2 linked regions of the Stegostoma tigrinum genome follow. The protein of the gene in region 2 purifies or fractionates together with the protein of the main gene of each other region. This does not show direct contact. Links are inferred from orthologs where the notes say so. Each region holds a gene or a part of one and is shown on either strand. Other genes may lie near its edges.

The links.
Region 1: the proteins of zinc finger protein 346-like (region 2) and krr1 purify together in Homo sapiens (affinity purification with mass spectrometry; 3 studies listed by BioGRID and IntAct, with this or other methods). This does not show direct contact. The link is inferred for Stegostoma tigrinum from reciprocal best matches to the Homo sapiens genes ZNF346 and KRR1.

The regions. Positions count from the first base shown.
Region 1 is NC_081371.1:47,149,919-47,157,723, reverse strand, and holds the start of krr1 (KRR1 small subunit processome component homolog), read left to right. Parts: upstream 1-4,678; 5' UTR 4,679-4,745; coding exon 4,746-4,800; intron 4,801-7,805. UniProt on the Homo sapiens protein: Part of the small subunit (SSU) processome, first precursor of the small eukaryotic ribosomal subunit.
Region 2 is NC_081366.1:78,747,765-78,754,967, reverse strand, and holds the start of zinc finger protein 346-like, read right to left. Parts: upstream 3,238-7,203; 5' UTR 3,171-3,237; coding exon 3,086-3,170; intron 1-3,085.

The sequences.
Region 1 (7,805 bases), on a different chromosome or scaffold from region 2:
TCCAAAACCTACAGCCATCGAATCACAGAGTTATACAGCGTGGAAAGAGAGACTTTTGTCCAACTCGTCTGCACCAACCAAATATGCTAAACTGATCTAGTCCCATTTGCCAGCATCTGACCCTTATCCCTTTAGGCCCTTCCTATTCATGTACCTGTCCAGATACAGTTACAATATTTAAAAGATATCAGCCTCCACCATTGGGAGCAATGGCCTAGCGGTATTATTGCTGCAATGTTAACCCAGAGACCCAGATAACATTCTGCGGACCTGGGTTCAAATCCTGCCATGGTAGATGGTGGAATTTCTATTCAATAAATATTTGGGATTAAGAATCTAATGATAAGCATGAAACCAAATGTTGATTGTTGGGAGAAAAACCCATTGGGTTCACTCATGTCCTTTAGGGAAGGAAACAGCCATCCTTACCTGGTCTGGCCTACATGTGACTCCAGCCCCACAGCAACGTTGCTGACTCTTAACTGTCCTCTGGACAATTAGGAATGAGCAATAAATGCTGCCTGGCCAATGACACCCTCATCCTGTGAATGAATAAAAAAAAACCTTTCCACTGGCAATCCATTCCAAACACACTCCACCCTCTGTGTGTTAAAGTTGCCCCTTACATCCCTTTTAAATCTTTCCCTTCTCACCTTAAACCCAGCCCGTCTAGTTTTGGAATCCCTGCCGTAAGAAAAAGACATTGGTTAGTCAGCCTATCCACACCCCTCATGATTTTATAAACCTCGATAAGAGCCGTCTCAGCCTCCGCTACCCCAGGACCATTGACTCCTGTAAGAATTTTGGATGCTTCACAATCCTGGTGTCCTTTTTGACCAGCCAAAGAATTACTTCCATATTATAATGTCCCTTAACATCCCCATGCTTCAGCCCATGAAACCTTCATCCATAGGTCAGTTACCTCCAGATGGATATTGCAATACCCTGGCTGACCTCCTATGATTGTAAACTTCAGCTCACCTACCCGTGTCCGATCTCACACCAAGTAAAATTGACCTTCTATCCTGACCTAACAAACCTGTTTTATTTAAATAATGAATTGAGTTTAAAACTGCTATCCTTAGTTTCAATTCTGTCAATAGCTTCTGCGTTCCCTATTTCTGAATCTCAACATTTTTAATTGTCACTCCTGAACTTAAAAGAGATCTTTGGGGAGAGAAATCCAGATTTTCACTCCTCTTCATGTGAAAACGAGTTTCCTGACATTGCATCTGAAGGACCTGGCTCAAATTTTAAGATTATGCTCCTTCAGTCTGAGTTAACATTTTAGGTTCAGTAACCCTTTCTGCACAACATTCTGAAGAAAGGTCACTGGCGCCAAAACATTAGCTCTACTTTCTCACCACAGATGCTGCCAGACCTGCTGTGTTTTTCCAGCTTCTGTTGTTAAGGTGATCCTTATTTCTCTTCTGGTCAGCACACTGCTTCAGTCATCTTTCTCTAGATGCTTCCACTGGGTAGTAAGAGGCACAAAAGTGGTTGGTTCACTCAAAGTATTTGACTTTTCAGTTAAATCTCACATCTTACAACAACTATTGAATAAAAACCGAAAGAGCTGCGGACGCTGTAAGTCAGGAACAAAAACAGAGTTGCTGGTAAAGCTCAGTATATCTGGCAGCATCTGTGAAGAAAAATGTCAGAGTTAATGTTTAGGGTCTAATTACCCTTTCTCAGAACTGATGGGAGCTGGGAAAATGTCAGTGTATATGCAGGAAATAGGGACGGGGTGGGGTATAGAGAAAACAATAGGATAGAGCTGAAAGAGAGAGATGAACAGTTGGACAGATAAAGGAGTTGATAATGATCTGGTTAGGAGGGTCAATAGTTGTTAATGGGGACTGTTAGTGACAAACAACAGGCTGTGTGTAATGGCAGGCTATGTGATAACAGGGCCTGATGTGTGAGGTAGGGGGCAGGGACATGGGAGAGTTTAGACCCTGAAATTATTGAACTCGATATTGAGTTAGGAGGGCTGCAGGGTCCCCAAGCGGAAAATGAGGCGTTGTTCTTCCAGCTTGCGCTGAGCTTTGCTGAAACACTGTAGGAAACAACTATTGAAGGTCATGTTCTTCACGTTTACAGGGAGTTTTAACTGCAAAGAAAATAACAAGCTACTCCTCCCAGCTGGGGAAAAACTGAACACTTCTCTCTTTCTGTAACTTATTCCCAGTTCTAAGTTGTTACCTGTTAGCAGCAAAAATGCCTCTGTCATCAATAACAGTTTACTAGTCCATAGATTAACCAAATTCTTGTTGCCAAAAGTTGCATCAGCACTGTCCTCAGCCTCAAATCATTGAATCTGATAAAAGAGAATCCCTACTGCATGTAAGCAACCTATTTGGCCTATCAGGTCCACACTAGCATTCTGAAGAGCATCCCACCCAGGGGCACCCAGCCCCATCCTTGTAACCTGCATTTCCTATTAGCCTTAAATCCCTGGACACTATGGGCAATTTAGCAGTTTAGTTTCAACCTGCACATCTTTGGATTGTGGGAGGAAACCCTTCAGAGATTGTGCAAACTACAAGGCAGCCACCTGAGGGTGGAATTGAACCCAGATCCCTCGCATTATAAGGCAGCAGTGCTAACCACTGAACTATCATGCTGCTCTCCCAAACTTCAATTACTGCTTGTTCAACAGTTATTTACACAATGCCTACAATAGTTATTTATTTTCAAAATATACTACCCTTTCAAACATTAATTTTAAAACAACTGTCATTTCAGTCCACAGTATTTTAAAAACAAACACAAAATTTTAAAAAAAGTGATATTGACAGTGAATACTAGTTGTAATTCACAGTATATTTTGATTGCAATCAGTCTTTTACTAAATTTGACTTCTACTGGGATCCTTCCCTTTCCTCAGTTACTCCTCTGTCATGTGATTGATGTATTTGTTGGTCTCTCCCTGCACAGATATTTTTGGAAACTATTGTTCACATGAACAATTTTAGCAAGTATGGTCAGTAGCTATCATTAGTGTGAATTCCTCGTGTGAGGCTGATTTCTTCTCATACTTGCTCCTTCTAATACCTGAAACAGAATACAAATAATGAAACTATCATAAAGTGTTGAAAGATAACCTATGTGAGTTGCTAATGTCCTTTAGGTCTGGCCCATATAAAATTTCGAAATTGCAGCAATGCGGTTGATTCTTTACTGCACTCTGAAATGGTCTAACAGACCATTCAGTTTAAAGGCATTTAGAGATGGACAACTAATACTTGCCTTGCCAGTGACTCCCACTTCTTTTGGAAGAATAATACAAATTTGGGTACATGCTGGCTGTTCAGTTAACTATTGGAATGATGCATGTCTGTTGTACTTGCCTTGTTTTATAAAGATCTATCAGACTTAGACTTGGAGATAGCAAGAACTGCAGATGCTGAAGGCAGAGAAAACACATTGTGAAGCTAGGGGAACACAGCAGGTCAGGTAGTATCAGAGGAGTAGGAAAATTGATTTTTCGGGTCAGGGCCCTTCTTCAGAACTCTTAAAGGGGTTCCAACCCAAAACATCAACTTTCTGATGTTGCCTGACCTGCTGTGTTCCTCCAGTTCCACATTGTGTTGTCTCAGATTTACACTTGACAGGACTTGAACCCTTCAGGACTCAAGAGCCATGTAAGTCATCTTAGTACAAAAGTAAAATATTGCAGATGTTGGAAAACTGAATTAAAAATTGTCAAATGTTGGCTAGGCAGCATCAGTGGTGCAAAAGATGCTGGCTGCCCTGAATAAAAGCATGCTGTTAATTCCACTAATATTCAGGAGAATGGTTTCAGCATTTTAGTTCCAATTCCTGTCAGTAAGAAATCACTGCAAGTACTTGGACTGAAAAATGACCTGATCTATACTAAACTGGAGAGTTAGATGAGCTGAAAGCATGATTGAGTATGCACCCACAATGCCTTGAGGCAGTGCATCCAAATCCTAACCATTTTCTACACAAAAAGGGGTTTCACTTTTTTGTTGCTTTTCTGCCGATCATCTTGTCTTGGTATTCTCTGGATCTCGACCTTTGTACGAGTTTCAAGTCTCTATCTACCTTGACTAGTTCCCCTCGTTATTTGTGAACACTTTTATCTAATCTCTCAACCTTCCCTAGGATGGGAAGTACTTTTTGAAGTGTAGGTTTTCTCCTGCTGTTCTGTTCTTCCTGCCAAAGGGACGAGTTCACATTTTCACGCATTAGACTCCATCTGCCAAAGGGAGGTAGTTGCTCTGAGATCTTTCACATCTGCAAGATGTGTCAGCTCTGATAGTGCTGGATGTGGACTGTCAACCTCGATACAGTGGGCCTCCTAACGTGTCAAAAGTCGCCTTTAGAAAGCAGATTTTGGATTTTATATAAAATCTGCGAAGACTGCATCAGTTATGGGCTCAAGACTCTGGATTGGGTCTTGAACCTATCAATTCTCCTGTTTCCGACGCAACATAATAGCCACAGAAAAAATTATTTTTAATAAACTTCACAACAAGACGTCGACGGGATCCATAAACTGCCGGCTGCTGTCACCCAAATAACATCCAGCGCCATACTGCAAGCAGTGTCCGTTTTTTTTGGGGGGGGGAGGCATAGAGTGGCGGACCGGCGGAAGTGTGTCCGTGGGGGGAGGTATTGAGTGGCGGACCGGCGGAAGTGTGTCCGTGGGGGGAGGTATTGAGTGGCGGACCGGCGGAAGTGTGTCCGTGGGGGGAGGTATTGAGCGCCGGGCCGCCATGGAGGTCGCTCCTGGTCCAAGGAGAGCCGGTAAAAATGATGATAAAGATAAAGGTAAATGAAGAATTGGAGGAGGTCAGGTCTGCGGCGGGGTTGGGGAGGATTTCTGAACCAAAAAAAAACATACAAAGAGTTGTGGAAATCTGAAGTAAAAACCAAATTGCTGGAGAATCTGAGGTAACAAGGTGTAGAGCTGGAGGAGCCGAGCAGGAAGGCTGATGGTTCGGGCCTCGACCCACCTTCAGAAACTGAGCTCGAGGAGCTCACCAGGTTTCTGGCAGCATCTGTGGTGAGAGAAACAAAGTTAGTGTTTCGGGCCCAGTGACTCTCCTTCGGAATTTCAGTGATTTCTGTTTTTGTTGGGGATTTCTGAAGCCGGCCTGGCCTTGGGGGAGGCTCCATTTGTGGGTTAGGTTGGGTCCGGGGCGGGGGGGATGCGTAGACCCGGTGGACGAAGATTTTGTGAAGTCTTTGTTGCCGTTTACTTTATCCTGATTCGGAAGTTGATTCCTGAAATGTTCCTGAGCAGAGTCACTCGTTTTAACGAGCTTCTCCATCACTCCGCGACCTAAACTGCTGCCAAACCAGGTTTCCGCTTAAAAATTACCCTCATTTGTCACTATACTTACTGTCCAGATCCTAAAATTTTTGATCTTGTCGTGCTGGCATTGATATTTCTCACCATCACTTTAAATAAGTGCCCTTATTTAAAGGGGACAATTTCTTCAATTTACCCTGCCCAGACTGCTCTTGAATTTGAACACCTTGGTGAAATTTCTCCTCAACTTAACAGCCTAAGCATTTCCAGTCTTTATTCATTATTCTTCATGAGCAGGTACCATTGGTAAGGCCAACGTTTGTTGCACCTCCTTTGAATTGCTTGAAGTAGTATATGAATCAGAACAGGAGTAGGCCATTCAGCTATTCAAACCTATTCTGCCATTTAATGAGATCATAGCTTTCTGATTGAAACCTCATTCACATTCACAGTTACAACTGACAGCCTTTCAATTCCTTGCAGAACAACAAACTCTCTACCTCTATCTTAAAAATAGTCAAGGAATCTGCTTCACTGCCTTTTCAGGAAGAGAGTTCTGGCGAGACATGACCTCTGAGAGGCCAGTTAAGAATCGACCACATTACTCCAAGGCACATGTAGGCCTGATTGGGTAAGGATGTTAGTGAACCAGATGTGTTTTTACAACAATTGATTAGTTCTCTGGTCACCATTACTGAGACCAGCTTATAATTCCAAATATAACTGCCGAAATTTAAATTCCACCAGGTGCCACTTCGGGATTTGGGCCCATGTCACCAGCACACTGGCCTAGGTCTCTGGATCACTAACCCAGCGATTTAACCGTGACATCACCATCTCCACAGCGCCCCCCCCCCCCACCCAGCTGAATTTCTTCATCCATGAAATCATTCTCATTATTTTTTCCAAACCCTTCACTTCTATTCCAGAACGTGATGCTGAGGATAGGCCATTATACTCCAGTTAAAAGGGAACCAGTGTTTTATAGTGGTTTATCAAAAGTCATGCCAGTGTCAAGACTTCCCATGATAGCCTCTAATGAAGAACCTGCCATCAAAACCACCTTGCTTTTATATTCTGTCTCTCTTATGATTGGCCAAATGGCTTCCTTCTGTGCCATAACTATTATGTGATCATTTGTTCAGTGCGTGTTAATTTTGCCCAGGATTATCAGTTCTAAACTCGTTCCCATCACTCACTTTAAACTGACTGGTCTGTTGTCACTAGATTTATCTTTTACATCCTTTTTGAGCAAGGGTGCAACAGTTGCAGTTATCCAGTATACCTCTGAGATACTCCAGTATTTGTTGAGGTTGAGATTATGGCCAATATCACCTCAGTTTTCTCCACTACTTCCATCATCTATGGATGCATCCTCGTGACTTACCACCTTTTCATCCTTTCTTACTGCATCTCTTTGTCAACATCTGTACGTATCCACGATCCTGCTTAACTCCTCTTTCACTATGACTTTACTAACAGCATCTTCCTTGATAAAGACTGATTCAAAGTATTCTTAGCATTCGTGCTTTAATCCTTAATTAGGTTTTACTCTTCTTACACTTTTACTGCTTGTGTACTTATCAGAAACTTCTGGATTCTTTTCTTTTTCGTTAATTACTAGTTTTTACTTTATTCAATCTCTTTGCTGCACTTCTTTTCTCACTTTACATCTAAACTTTCTAAAATTATCCTGATTTTCACTTCTGTTATTAACCTGATAGTTGTTATGTCATTTTCCGATTGTCAATCTTTTGTAAATTGGGGCCTCTCACTTTTTTTGTACTACTGGTTGGCCCTTGTGGTAATGTGCCACTGGACTGTGTTTTTCTCATCTTTAAGGACAACCCATTGCTACATTGAAGTTTTGCATGCAAATCATTAATCCTAGTTTGTCTGATTTGTATCTGTTCTTGACCCACTGAAACTGTCCCTTGTCCAATTCAGTGTTTATATTTTTAATTGCTCCAGTTTGAACATTTTAATACTATGATTGTGGTTCTCCAAAAGTTCCCTAACTGACATTTGCCCCGACTTATTTCCTGAAGAGTACAGTTGAAGAATCGTACAATACAGAAGAAACTCCATAGCCCATTGAGTTTTCCCAAACACATTTCTGAAATTCTCTTCCCACTCTGCCTTTACTGTCCTCATCTACATGAGGATCAATAATATCCCCTATTACAGGGCTTCTTAAATGGGGTTTGGCACCTTGAACAAAATCATGAGTTCAGGTAGCAATGACCTACATCACTGATCTACACTCTCATTGGTCTTCTCCTCCTCCCTCCTTGCCCACCCCCTACAGCCCACTGAGTCAGATGATCATTTTTAAGCCTTGAAATGGGATCACAGTCGGAATTGGCATTGGAAGCAATGCTTCAGTACAATGACTTCATTGTTCATGCACTTCTCTTGCAAGTAAAGTAATTCTCTCAAGACTGTAATTTGCAGCATATCTCCTCCATTCTGATCGTCAGTGGTCTGCACCAGACACCCACTAACATAATCGCAGCTCTAC
Region 2 (7,203 bases):
GAGGAATGAACCGCCGGGGAACACTCAGCGGGCCAGGCACAGTGTGTGTTTTTCCGGGGGGGAATAAATCCGGGCAGCTCAGGTTGGTGCGGAGTGGTTGTGAACTGAAGCAAGGCCATCGACCTGAAACATGAGAACTACCTGGCCTGCACGAGGCATTTTGTTTCTGTTTGTTTTACATGTCCCCCTGGTTCTGCAGCTGCCTGAACAAAAAGCGACTGACCTCAATGTTAGTTGCAGGGGTCGGCGGAGGGGGGTGGTGTTTGCTGAATTATTTGCAGCAGCAATCGCAGTTTTATGTGTGTTTCTCTTTATAGAAACAGAGGAAGGTGCTCGATGCAAGCGAAGAGGGAGGCAGGAAGGGGAGAGGGGGAGAGGGGGAGAGGCGAGGGGGAGGGGGGGGACGAGGGGGAGGGGGGGGACGAGGGGGAGGGGGGGGACGAGGGGGAGGGGGGGGACGAGGGGGAGGGGGGGGACGAGGGGGAGGGGGGGGACGAGGGGGAGGGGGGGGACGAGGGGGAGGGGGGGGACGAGGGGGAGGGGGGGGACGAGGGGGAGGGGGGGACGAGGGGGAGGGGGGGACGAGGGGGAGGGGGGGGACGAGGGGGAGGGGGGGGACGAGGGGGAGGGGGGGACAGGGAGGGGGGGGACGAGGGGGGGGGGAGAGGGGGGGGGAGGGGGGGAGAGGGGGGGAGAGGGGGGGGAGGGGGGGACGAGGGGGAGGGGGGGACGAGGGGGAGGGGGGGACGAGGGGGAGGGGGGGACGAGGGGGAGGGGGGGGACGAGGGGGAGGGGGGGACGAGGGGGAGGGGGGGCGGGGGGGAGGGGGGGCGGGAGGGCGGGACGACGAGGGGGAGGGGGGGGGCGGGAGGGGGAGGGGGGACGACGGGGGGGGGACGACGGGGGGGGGGGACGACGGGGGGGGGGGGGACGACGGGGGGGGGGGGGACGGGGGGGGGACGACGACGGGGGGGGGGGGACGACGACGGGGGGGGGGACGACGGGGGGGGGGGGGGGGGGGGGGACGACGGGGGGGGGGGGACGACGGGGGGGGGGGGACGACGGGGGGGGGGGGACGACGGGGGGGGGGGACGACGGGGGGGGGGGACGACGACGGGGGGGGGGGACGACGGGGGGGGGGGACGACGGGGGGGGGGGACGACGGGGGGGGGGACGACGGGGGGGGGGGACGACGGGGGGGGGGACGACGGGGGGGGGGGGACGACGGGGGGGGGGACGACGGGGGGGGGGGGACGACGGGGGGGGGACGACGGGGGGGGGACGACGGGGGGGGGGACGGGGGGGAGGGGGAAGGGGGGGAGGGGGAAGGGGGGGAGGGGGAAGGGGGGGAGGGGGAAGGGGGGGAGGGGGAAGGGGGGGAGGGGGAAGGGGGAAGGGGGGGAGGGGGAAGGGGGGGAGGGGGAAGGGGGGGAAGGGGGGGAGGGGGAAGGGGGGGAGGGGGAAGGGGGGGAGGGGGAAGGGGGGGAGGGGGAAGGGGGGGAGGGGGAAGGGGGGGAACGGGGGGAGGGGGAAGGGGGGGAAGGGGGGGAGGGGGAAGGGGGGGAAGGGGGGGAGGGGGAAGGGGGGGAGGGGGAACGGGGGGAGGGGGAAGGGGGGGAGGGGGAAGGGGGGGAGGGGGAAGGGGGGGAGGGGGAAGGGGGGGAGGGGGAAGGGGGGGAGGGGGAAGGGGGGGGAGGGGGGGGGGAGAGGGGGAAGAGGGAGGGGGGGAGAGGGGGAAGAGGGAGGGGGGGAGAGGGGGAAGAGGGAGGGGGGGAGAGGGGGAAGAGGGAGGGGGGGAGAGGGGGAAGAGGGAGGGGGGGAGAGGGGGAAGAGGGAGGGGGGGAGAGGGGGAAGAGGGAGGGGGGAGAGGGGGAAGAGGGAGGGGGGAGAGGGGGAAGAGGGAGAGGGGGAAGAGGGAGGGGGGGAGAGGGAGGGGGGAGAGGGAGGGGGGAGAGGGAGGGGGGGAGAGGGAGGGGGGAGAGGGAGGGGGGAGAGGGAGGGGGGGAGAGGGAGGGGGGGAGAGGGAGGGGGGGAGAGGGAGGGGGGGAGAGGGAGGGGGGGAGAGGGAGGGGGGGAGAGGGAGAAGGGGGAGAGGGGGAGAGGGAGAGGGGGAGAGGGGAAGAGGGAGAGGGGAGAGGGGGGGGGGGAGAGGGGGGGGGGAGAGGGGGGGGGGGGAGAGGGAGGGGGGGGGAGAGGGAGGGGGGGGAGAGGGAGGGGGGGGAGAGGGAGGGGGGGAGAGGGAGGGGGGGAGAGGGAGGGGGGGAGAGGGAGGGGGGGAGAGGGAGGGGGGGGAGAGGGAGGGGGGGGGAGGGAGGGGGGGGAGAGGGAGGGGGGGGAGGGCGAGGGGGGGGAGGGGGGGAGGGGGAGGGGGGGAGGGCGAGGGGGGGAGGGCGAGGGGGGGGGGAGGGCGAGGGGGGGGGGAGGGCGAGGGGGGGGAGGGCGAGGGGGGGGAGGGCGAGGGGGGGGTAGGGCGAGGGGGGGGAGAGGGGAGAGGGGGGGAGAGAGGGGGCGAGGGGGGGGGAGGGGGGGAGGGGAGGGGGGAGGGGGGGAGGGGGGGGCGAGGGGAGGGGGGGCGAGGGGAGGGGGGCGAGGGGAGGGGGGCGAGGGGAGGGGGGCGAGGGGAGGGGGCGAGGGGAGGGGCGGGGGGGCGAGGGGGCGAGGGGCGGGGGGGCGAGGGGAGGGCGAGGCGAGGGGAGGGGGGAGTGGGGGGCGAGGGGAGGGGGGGGCGAGGGGAGGGGGGGGAGGGGGGAGGGGGGGGGGGAGGGGGGAGGGGGGGGCGAGGGGGGAGGGGGGGGCGAGGGGAGGGGGGGGGGCGAGGGGAGGGGGGGCGAGGGGAGGGGGGGGGGCGAGGGGGTGGGGGGGGGGCGAGGGGGTGGGGGGAGGGGGGGGCGAGGGGGGTGGGGGGAGGGGGGGGCGAGGGGGTGGGGAGAATCATGCTGTGTACGGGGAGGTACCGATGCACGAAGCTCTCGGCCACAGCGAGGAATCTTTGCTATTTACCCCCCTCCCCCCTTTTAACCGAATGCACGACGCTGCCTCCCCCCTCCCCCATAATGCACGGTGCTCATGGCTGGGCGGCGCTTACCAGCCCCGTTGCCAGTCGAGGTGTCGCCGGCACCGGCTGGTTTGAAGCTTTCCATCAGCTGAGGGATCGGTCTCTCCGCCGCCATCGCTGCCGGAGTCCCCAGCTTTTCTCTTAGTTTTAAAATAAACCCTCAACCCCCCTCCTCCCTCCCTCCCTCTCTCTAAACCCCGGACTTGCCCCCTTGCCCCCCCCAGCACAGGCACACACCGAGCCAGCCCCCTGCCCTCAGCAGATCTCGCGTCAACACAGCCGAGCCGCGCGAGACATCGCCCGCCGCTTTCCAGAAAGTTCGTGGCCGCGCCGACGTCAGCGGACGGCGTTGCCGCGGCAACGGGCCGGCGCCGCGCGTGCGGCAGCGTGGACGCGCTCGGAGCTGCCCCGCGGCAGGAACGGTCCGAGCTCGGCTGGAGCTGCCGGTAGTGTCCCTGCATCGGAGACAGGAGACCCGTGTTAATGCCCCACCTGTTGCAAATGTGTGTGTAATAACGTAGCCGAGTGGTTGGATGGGAAAACACCTTCACCACAAGCAGCTGAGGTATTAATTCCCTTGACTGAGACAGTGAAACAAGTTGGAAAGTTGCTCAGCGAATCTGGGGAAATGTGTTTAAACTTTGGCAGTTTTTTTTCTAATTATAAACGATTGAAAAGCACAATATCAACTCTAATAGAATCCAGTTTGATGTTGTCTATAACTATTTGCTAATATCTGAGTATGTCTAGGAATAGAATATTTAAATTAAAGTTTGGACAAAGGGACGTGTAGCTAATTTTGCTGATGACAGAAAGTAGGTAGGAAAGTGTGTTAAGAGGACATAAACAGCCTACAAAACTAATTAGGTGGGGTAAGTGAGTGGTCTAAGGTCCGGCAAATAAGATGTAATGTGGCAAAGTGGGGGAAAAAAATAAAAAGCATATTTTCTAAATGGTAAGATTTTACAGAGCTCTGAGATGTTAAGAGACTCTGAGTATCCTGATGCATGAAGGTTAGTATGCAGGTACAGCAAGTAATTTGGAAACATAACAGAATGTAATGTTGTAATGTGAGGGTAATTGAAAGCAAGAATAGGGAGGTTATACTTCAATTTTACAAGGCATTGATGAGACTGCGTCACTAGTCATGGTACCAGCAAAAGGATGTCAATGTGATGAAAGCAGTTCAGAGGGCATTCACTAGATTAATACCGGGAATGAGGGGATTGCCTTATGAGGAAGGCTCGGCAGGCATTTAGAAGAGTCAGAAATGACTTAATAGAAACATTTAAGATCCTGAAGGAACTCGATCAGGTAGATGTGTATAGGATGTTTCCTCTTGTGGGAAAATGTAAAACTAGGGGTCATAGGTTAAAAGTAGGGGTTCATTTATTTAAGACAGAGGAACACATTTCTCTTGGAGTGTTTGGAATTCCATTCCTCAAAAGACAGTGGAGGCAGAATCTTGCAACTATTTTTAAGACAAAGGTGATAGATTCTTGATTACCAAGAAGATGAAAAATCATATGCAGGAATATAAACTTGAAGTTAAAATCACATGAATGACGATCTTATTGAAGGCTGGAGTAGACTCAAAGGGCTGAGTGGCCTGTTCTTGTTTCTTGCTTGACTGGTGGAGCACCAACTGATAGTATCTAGTAACAGCCAGACAAGGCCTGCAGTTGTACTTGCGGCCAAGCCAAATAGCTCCATGAGGATCTGCATTAAATACCAAAAAGATAATGCAATGACTATGAGGGTCGAGGATAGAGCGAATAGCCAAGGTCTTTCACCCATCTTAGGGGACCCCAAAACTAGGCAGCATAGGTTTAAGGTGAGAGCGGAAAGACTCAAAAGGGACTTGAGAGGCATTTTTTTTCATTCAGAGGATGACACAGGTATGGACTGAGCTGTAGGGGCCTTAGAATTATAACATTTAAAAGGTTTCTGCATGCGTACATGTGCTGGCAAATGGGACTTAATTTATTTAGGTTCTCTGGTGGTATGAATGAGTTGGACCGAAGTGTCTGTTTCCATGTTGTACATCACAATGACTTTATGACTCTAAACAAGCTTTGTTTGTTTATGAAAACAGGCCCGGCCAAGAGGCTAATTGTAGGCTGAAACTTGATTCAAAAAGGTTCTAACAGATGCAGCAAACCCTAGAAAGAGCATTTGTTTACACAGATAGCTGAAATTGGCTATCGACGAGATCAGTACTTGGGAATTGGTTCTGGCAAGTCTGAAAGAAAGCCTATGTTCAAGCAGATTGGCAGTTGTTTAATGGTAATTGAGGCCTCAAGAGGAGTCATTCAGAGTATCAGGGTAGAACCAGAATCAGTGTTCTGTTTAGCTCTGTTTTCTGGGAGATGGTCCAGGGATGCTGCTGAGACAGTGTGAAGATTTGAAAGCTCCCTGCCTAAAGAGTAGAAAGCTGAGTTGGAATTATTGTGGCTTTTGCCTGAGTGAACTGAGAAAATGACCCTGATCGATGTTTCAGAAAAACAGCTAAAGAGTCACATTTATGCCTGTGAGATAATGCATCATGAGTCAATTGAGTAATCTGGCCACTTTTTTTTAGCTTATTTATCCCTTAACTGTGTTTGTTATCCATTGTTCATGTGAATGGGGGCTGGAAACAAATGTTTTGGGTTTAAAGCACTAATATTGATAACCACACCATGTTTTATTTTCTCTTTTCTAATATAAATTTTGTTTTCAATAAAATGTTAAATCTTTTGTTTAAATTACAGAACTGGTGTTGAGAAAATTAATTAATTTCAAAGTTTGGAATTGCTTGTTCAAAAACCTGGTTGTGAACCAGCAGAGTGATTTAGATGGTTTAATGTTACTGTGTTGTGAATACAAAGGTGGATTCGATTCAGCTACCTATCTCTATGTCATAACACAAGCAGTAGTGCAGTTTCAGATTCCCACAACAAAATGGGAACTTATGAGGTTCTTGGAATATGTGATTTTTACCGAAAGTTTATCTCAAGTTTCAGCGCAGTTGTCAGCTTTTGAAACAGCTTTTGAAAAGCTGAAGGCCATTCAGACAAGATTAGATAGGGGAAATGCAGAAAGGGCGTTCTGATGACCAGGGAGTCCAAGACCAGAGGTTATAGTCTAAAGACAAGAGGTAGGCCATTTAGGACTGAGGTGTTTTCAAGGAGTTAGAGATTGTTTTTCAGGCTAAAGGGATCAAAGGATATGGGGAGAAGGTGGGATGAGGGCACTGAATTGGATAATCAGCAATGGCCATGTAGAATGAAGAAGTGGCATCGAAAGGCTGAATGGCCTACTTGTAGACTCAGAGCTGCACAACGTGGAAACAGACCCTTCAGTCCACTCATCCATGCCGACCAGGTATCCTAAATTAATCTAGTCCCATTTGCTAGCATTTGGTCCATATCCCTCTAAACCCTTCCTATCCATGTCCTCATCCTGATTACATTTAAATGTTGTAATTATACCAGCCTCCACCACTTTCTCTGGCAGCTCATTTCATACACAAACCACTCTCTGTAAGAAAATGTTGCCTCTTGTGTCACTTCTAAATCTTTCGCTTCTCACCTTAAACCTATGCCCTCTAGTTTTGGACTTCCCCACACTGGGGAAAAGACCTTGACTGTTCACCCTATTCATGCCCCTTGTAATTTTATAAACTGCTATAAGGTCACCTCTCAGCGTCCAATACTCCAGGGGAAGATAGCCCCAGCCTATTCAGCCTCTCCCTATAGCTCAAACCCTCCAACCCTGGCAACATCCTTGTAAATCTTTTCTGAATCCTTCCAAGTTTCACAACATCCTTCCTATACCAGGGAGACCAGAATAGCACGCAGTATTCCAAAAGTGGCTTAACCAGTGTCCTGTATAGCCACACATGACCTCCCAACCCCTATACTCAATGAATTGACCAATAAAGGCAAGCATACCAAAACCTTCAATATCCTGTTTACCTTTGAATCTCCTTTCAAGGAATGATGAACCTGCATTCCAAGGTCTGTTTGTTCAGCAACATTCCCCAGGACGTCATCATTAAGTGTATTAGTCCTGCCTTGATTTGCCTTTTCAAAACGTAACAACATATATTTATCTGAATTAAACTCCATTGGCCCATCTGATCAAGGTCCCATTGTACTCTGATG